Rattus norvegicus: one gene and its partner. The protein of the gene in region 2 binds, or shares a complex with, the protein of the main gene of each other region. Links are inferred from orthologs where the notes say so. Each region holds a gene or a part of one and is shown on either strand. Other genes may lie near its edges.

What was found.
Region 1: Ctnnd1 (region 2) and Cdh26 share a complex: the UniProt entries of both Homo sapiens proteins name them as parts of the cadherin:catenin adhesion complex. The link is inferred for Rattus norvegicus from reciprocal best matches to the Homo sapiens genes CTNND1 and CDH26.

The regions. Positions count from the first base shown.
Region 1 is NC_086021.1:185,929,331-185,933,144, reverse strand, and holds part of Cdh26 (cadherin-like protein 26 precursor), read right to left. Parts: intron 1,654-3,814; coding exon 1,408-1,653; intron 1-1,407. UniProt on the Homo sapiens protein: Cadherins are calcium-dependent cell adhesion proteins. They preferentially interact with themselves in a homophilic manner in connecting cells; cadherins may thus contribute to the sorting of heterogeneous cell types.
Region 2 is NC_086021.1:90,113,630-90,117,443, forward strand, and holds part of Ctnnd1 (catenin delta-1), read right to left. Parts: intron 2,843-3,814; exon of another isoform or gene 2,725-2,842; intron 1,118-2,724; 5' UTR 1,024-1,117; coding exon 829-1,023; intron 1-828. UniProt on the Homo sapiens protein: Key regulator of cell-cell adhesion that associates with and regulates the cell adhesion properties of both C-, E- and N-cadherins, being critical for their surface stability.

The DNA of each region.
Region 1 (3,814 bases), about 96 Mb from region 2:
TAGGCTCGTTGGCCTCTCGTGTGACTTCTTGTTACTGTTCAGGGCCGAGGCTCTGAAAGACAGAAAATTAGAAAAGCAAAGAGCAGGTAGGAAAGAAAAGAGGCTCCTTGTCCCGAGATCTGGACACCATTGATACATTCAAAATTGCCCACAGTGAGGACAGTGCGTGTTTTCCTACCCACACCTCAAATGAGAATAACAGAGAAACTGTGCTAACCTGGGCCAAGATGGTCCACAGCCTTGATTTTTTAGCACCCCTTATTCCTGAATATAAACAACACTCCTCATAAACCTGCATTACAACTTTATTGACAGAAGAAATGTCTGTAACCTTTAAACCGTACTGTAAATTATACTATCCAAACAAGCGCCTTAGGAAAGCTCCAGGATCTGATCTACACCCCCAGGCTCCTGCCCATACCTGCCTATACATACACATGATACCCACACGACCCAACTTAGACCCGTAGGATCCTGCCTACACCCACAGGATCCTGCCTACACCCCCGGATCCTGCCCATACTCACAGGATCCTACCTACACCCCTGGCTCCTACCTATACTCACAGGATCCTGCCTACACCTACAGGATCCTGCCTCTACCACAGGAACCTGCCTACACCACAGGATCCTGCCTATACCCACAGGATCCTGCCTACACACAGTATCCTACCTACACCACAGGATCCTTCCTATACCCACAGGATCCTGCCTACACCACAGGATCCTTCCTACAACCATAGGATCCTGCCTACACCACAGGATCCTGCCTACACCCATAGGATCCTGCCTACACCACAGTATCCTACCTACACCACAGGATCCTTCCTACACCCACAGGATCCTGCCTACACTCATAGAATCCAGCCTACACTCACAGGACCCTGCCTTTGACTCATCCATGATCCTGAAAGAACCCTCTCCTTGTCAAGCTGGGCTAGGGTGAACTCCTCGCTTTGGCCTGTTACTCTCTCTAGCTGGGATAAATAGACATTTCTTTACATCTTCCCCACAGAACATCATGTGGTGACGTACTCTAGGGCTCTAGATGGCTCTAGGACTCAAAGAGCACCCCTCACATTGTTACAGCCGTGGCTGCTGTTCACTCCAAGGACAGGGACCCAGGTGAAAATTAGGAGAGAGAAGAGAACAGAGCAGGTATCTCGGTGTGCAGTCATCTTCCTCCATGATGTCAAGAAAGTCAAGAGTGACAGCAGACATGTAATGCTCACCCAGCCCTCATGCCCAGAGTCCTTTCTGGAACTTGGTAAGTAATCCGGGCTGGTCTCCCACAAAACACACTCCAGTCTTTAGGCTCTCCAAGTGTCACTTGAGATTTCATGACCCAGTGTCCCCACCCAAAGTCACACTTTGCTCCAGTCTGGGTTAGCCCCCAACCCATACAAACCTTCCTCCTGCTTTATCCTCAGCATCCAAATCTCTCTCACATCTCCCTGGTCAGAGTCCAAATCAAAAGTAAAGGGGCCAGCGTAGGGGTCCAGGTCTGCATCCTCGGCTTCCAACAGCAGGGCCTTGTTTCCAGCCGACTCACAGATCTCCAAGTGTCGGGAATGGGGCTGGAGAATTGGAGCATTGTCGTTGACATCATACAGGAAAAGCATCAGAGTCCCCGTGCCAGTCAGTGGGGGGAGGCCTTGGAGAGGACAGAACCCAGGCAACAGAGGAGGTCACAATATTAAAGAGAGAGGGTGGACTTGACCTTACAGAAAAGCAGCATCAGTAGTTCCTCAAGTGCCTATAACAGTCCAGAGTCTCTCCATCAGGGTGTGGCCCTGGTGGTGGACACCTCCAGTGCAAGTGTGTACACACTCATGCACATGTATTCACACACATACACATACACTCACACACACTCACACACACACTCACACATGCTCACACACACATGCTCACACACACACTCTCACACATACACTCTCTCGCACACTCACATGCATACACAACTCACGTACACTCACACACACACACATGCTCACACACATGTAACACACAACTCACATATGCTCACACACACATGCTCACACACACAACACACATACACACACACTCTCACACATATACTCTCACACAGACAACTCATGCTCACACACACACATGTTCACACACATACAACACACAACCCACATATGCTCACACACACACACATAACACACATACACACACTCACACAGACACTCAAACACACACAACTCACACATGTTCACACATAAACATACACACATACACACTCACACACACTCACACACACTCACACAGACACTCACACACACACAACTTACACATGCTCACACACATATACACACATACACACACATACACTCACACACACACTTACACATGCAACTCACACACTCACACTCACACACACAACTCACACACACACACACACACACACACACACACACACACGTAGCAGTATTGGGCAGCACGAGTTGTTCCTGACGGATTTTAAAGGAAGAGATAGGGTGTAGAATCCCATATCCTGTCTCAGTCATGGTACAAGCTGCAGAGGTGCTGGGAAGGATAAGTGCTGTAAAAGGGGAGCATAGGGGATCCCCAGGGAAGATGAAGTCAGCTCTGGTCTGCTAGGGACATTGCCTATGAAGACAGACTACACTGTTTTATAAAGCGCACACTGGGGAAAGCTCGGGAAAGCGTGTTGGGATGCTAAAACCACAAGTGAATCTACAAGGTGGCTGGTCAGATATTAACAGCTTGTGGGTCACAGAGCATGGATCTTCCCCTCATGGTCAGCAGCTGGTAGAAACAGGAACAGAAAGGCAGGACTCTGGCCTCAGGTGGAGACATGGCAATCAATCAAACAGTCTGTTCATCAATGCTACCCACTAAAGGTTTTCTGGTGAAGATCAAAGAACTGACAGACACTGGGAAGGGAAATGCCCCTCGGGAAAGGGCCTCCTTTAGAGACTGTAGGAAGAGTATGAAGCCTGACTAACAGTGAAAGCTAATGGTGGTCTCTCTGGCCATGGACCTCTCTCCTCGCCCCATAATATGCTTTCCTCCTCAGTGGGCCACACTACCACTGTCCACTCTCATTCCTACAGGTGCCCACTGTCCTCTATAATAAACTCACTTGTCTCTGTACCCCAGCACCTCTGAATTATTCTGGCAGACTGGGGACCCCAACGGAGGGCAGGATAGGATCATGGCGACAAATTTATGATCATTCAGAAATCACCTCTTGTAATTAAAAGTAGATCATGGGAATCATGAAGCCATCCCTCACTGAATCATGGAACCCTGAGTGCCAGGTTGGCCGGCTTCCCTTCCTGAGCATGGGATAGCATCTCAGGTCCCTAACATTCTGTCAGATAATTATGCAAATGGGCTGGGCAGGCCCACAGCGCTTGGGGCTTTCATCCACGGACTTCTTTAAGTACGGTTCTTAATGTTACTTGAAAATGTCCACACATGCAGCTTTATGTTTGGACGCGTTTAACTTCAGCCTTGTGGGAATTTGGAGAAATGTGCTAAGACGTGTTTTTAAAATCACTCGTCCTGGTTTATGACAAATGCGTTCCACTCAGACACATTTGCTGGAGCTTACGAGCCGTCCCAGGTACGGGAAACTGCTAAATATTTATCACACATCGTTGGTCTTGACAAAGAGCTACTGCATTATCTTCCAGGCAGACAAGACGGGTGGGTGTGATTGCCGACTCCTCGCTGGCTTAATTGTCTCTGCTGAGTGAACGCTGCCCCTCTTTCAGCAGCATCAGTCCCCGGTTTGCCATTGCTGGAGTTATTATCAAAAAATAATCTCTAGCACAGAG
Region 2 (3,814 bases):
AAAAACAAATAAGCAATCAAATAAGGACGAAGTGTGAGCCCTGTTCTAATGCCACTCAGACCTCTAGAGGATCAGTCTACTCAAGCAGTGCCCAGCATGTGTGCGTGCACATTCACTCAGATACATTACAGTAAAGTCAGACATAAACCTTAGGGAACACAATATACTTCTCACTTCTAACACCAGTCCTCCCAAGTCACATCTAAGTCAGCCAACCCTGAGACTACTGCTGCTCCTGTGGTTATCTGGGTTAAATAATAGCATGATGCCCCCTCTCCAGCTCTAACCAGCAAAAGTAACAATGATCTCTTCTTCCAAAACATGGTTTACACACCCAACAATAAGCACACAAGGACATATGGGAAAGGAATATGAATATTGGGGATTTATGAACACTGTAACACTTTCTGAGAACAGATTGTTCGCTAGTTGAGATTGAACTGGAGCTAGGAGCTCAAGATGCCCAACTTCCCCAACCACTAAGTAGATATACTCTCCTAATTTTTCACCCTGAGAAAAAAAGATATTTCAAGGAAAACAGAAGTGACTCTGAGTGTAGCTACAAAATACAGTACCATAACTAGAAATAACTAGAACTGCATCCCTATCCAAAACAGGAAGTCACAAAGGGTTTCTAAAGTCCATCCAACTCAGATCAGTAACAAATCCCTTATTTCTTAATCAACATTTATAATATTCCTGGAACAGTTCACCGTCAAGTGTAAACACTGGACAGCCCAGGGCCAGTAGCATCTCATTAAGGATCTGTAGGCCTCAGTTGCAACCATGCCAACGTCCTACCTGCAGGTCTGATGGAGAAAGGGTTACCTGATGCCGACGGGTGAGGGTGCCGTTGGCCATGAGTGAGTTGGCATCTTGTGGTGAGACCCGGACGCGTTCCAGTTGCGCCGACACATGGCGCCGCTCCTCCTCCAGCGCCCGGGTCAGCTTCTCAAATTGTGCCTCTTGTTCTTTCACAGAGGCCAAGATGCTGGCGGTCGACTCCACCTCTGAGTCGTCCATGAAGGTAAGGGGAGGAGCCGCCGCAGGGCAGGATAAAAAGTAAGGTGGACCACAGAGGGAGTAGAAAGAAGGGAGTAGGTCCCCTCACTTCACACTAGGGGTGGGGGGAGGGGTAAGAGAGAAGAGAAAAGATCACAGGTCAGAGAAGACAGAAGAATTGTTAATCCCCAGCGCCAAAGATGCCCTCTGTGTTTTTACTGCAGTGCAGAAAGCAAGCCACCACCAACCAAGCTTGGGAGCCCATCACCAAGGTCTGTTCCAATAGGAAGGACCCTTCGCCTACTTCCCTCTTTAACACTCTACGAACTCCTTCCTATTGAAAGAAAAGGTGGCAGTTTGACCAAAGTCTCTATACTATTGGCAGGACAGAGACACCATAGCGTGGGATTAAAATTAGATTGTTTTTCTCTGGAAATATTTGCAGGCATCAGCTTAATAAAAGTTAACTCCCGGGTACAAGGACAAGTTACTTCTACAAGTAATGGACAACGCAAATTTTACTTAACCTCTCCCAAACCTGAACACTATAAATGTAGCTGTAGTGATAAATTATAATAAATGAAAATGTCAGTTAAGAAATGGAGATATTAGCTAAGTGGTGGAGGTGCATGCTTCTAATGTTAACACTTGGGAGGCAGAGGCAGGCAGAGCTCTGTGAGTTTGAGGCCAGCCTGGTCCACAGATAAAGAGTTCCAGGACAACCAGGGCTACATACCGAGAGAAACTCTGTCTTGGAATAAAAAAAAAAAAGAACCCAGTGAACTAGTCTATGGGGGGAGGGCGGCAATGGGGGGAGGGTTGGGAGGGGAACACCCATAAGGAAGGGGAGGGGGGAGGGGGATGTTTGCCCGGAAACCGGGAAAGGGAATAACACTCGAAATGTATATAAGAAATACTCAAGTTAATAAAAAAAATTAAAAAAAAAAAAACAATATTTCAATACTCATGCCAAAAAAAAAAAAAAAGAAAAGAAAAGAAAAGAAAGGAAGGAAGGAAGGGGGAGAGAGAGAGAAGGAAAAGAAAAGGGAAAAAAGAAATATAGAAGAACTTCCCAGATAGAAAGGCAAAAGAACTTAAACTTCCATGTCTCACACATGTGTAAAGAGGCCTTTCTATCTCACAAAACTATACTACATGATAGAGGGCAAAACATGCTAATGGGAACAACAGTGACAGAACCTCAGACACTGTACAAAAAGGCTTTGCCTCAAGCCATCTGTGGTGCAGGCCTGCAACCCCACCTTCTCAGAAGGTGGAAGATCACAACTTCTGTGGCTAGCCTACATAAATTTGTGGCCAGCCTGGGCAACTTAACAACATCTTGTCTCAAGTTTTTGTGGCCAGGTGTAGTAGCTCATAGCTTTAATCTCAGCACTTGGGAGGCAGGTGCAGATGGCTCACTATGAGTTCAAGGCCAGCCTGGTCTACAGAGCAAGTTCCAGAACAATCAGAACTACATAAAGAAATCCTGTCTCAAAAGCAGGATAGATAGATAGGTAGGTAGGTAGGTAGGTAGGTAGGTAGGTAGGTAGACAGACAGACATATAGATAGATAAGACAGACAGATAAAATGTATACTGTTGAATGGCAAACTAGGAGGAATTTTTTTCTCTCTTATTCCCTTAACTTCTCACCAAACACCTAAGGGAGAAAAAGGCACCTAAAATAACTTTTAATTCTTAATATATATTCCATACACACCTGTTAAGAGAAGGCCCGTAATTGATTGGTTTAGCACAGAGAATAGCCCAGTCTAGATTCAGATAAACCATGGAAGCATCCCAGCCACCTCAGCAAGCAGCAAGCAGGAAGGAGAAAGCTGCAGAAATATTTGGAGGAAAAATGAGAATGGGAAGAAAATAAACTACACCCACTGCATACATATAAGAGGGTGACGGGAGTATTAGAAATGAAAGGGGGTTATTTAAGAAACAACTTGGAGTTGCTTAATGAAACAAATACCCTTTAAACTTTGCTGTGTTCAGATATCTAGGCTTTGGATGTAGGATTAATTAAAGCACAGACTGCACTGTCACTGCAGTTCCTCTACTTGTAAATCCACGCAGAACCAGACCAGGGTACAATGTAGATAAAGCCACATAGGCAACTGATTTGGGGGTGAAATTTGTTAGAATGCCCTTCCCCCTCCTTCCTACCCTTAAGGCAGAAACCTCAAAGCCCAGTTCCAGCATGCCCACAAAGACATTGAGAAACCAATGTAATAGTCATGGGGGGGAAGACATGTGGGGACTAGCCTAGGCTGGGCCTTCTGCTCAGGCTCCGTTTCCCACGCTTCCCAGAGCCCCACCAAACACAAAAGCTAGGGCCTGTTTGCCTTAAATGTATCCGGCATTCAGCAGGCAAGAGTACCTAGAGGAAACTGATAAACAGGTGCCCAGTAAACTGAATTGGTTCAGTCACTAAATCCGAGAACACATTGAACTGTCCCTAAATGCGTCCTATACCCAGTCCTAGGCTCCCACAATCATTTATCAACCACTGTTCTCATTCAGCCCAATACCCAATGCCCCAGTGCCACTTTCCCATACTCCTACTCCACATTCCAAATGGCCACTCAGAGGTCTTTCTTTAACACATTGTTTTTGGATTTTTGTTTGTTTGTGGCAGTCTCCTAGGCTGGCCTCAAACTCACTATAAAGCTGAAGCTGGCCTCGAATTCCTGATCCTCCTGTGTCTACTTTCCAAGTACTGGAGTATATAAGAATTTATCACCACTCTTGGCTTGTTCTAATTGTTACCTTTTTATGCCTATTTTCTCATTTTAAACACT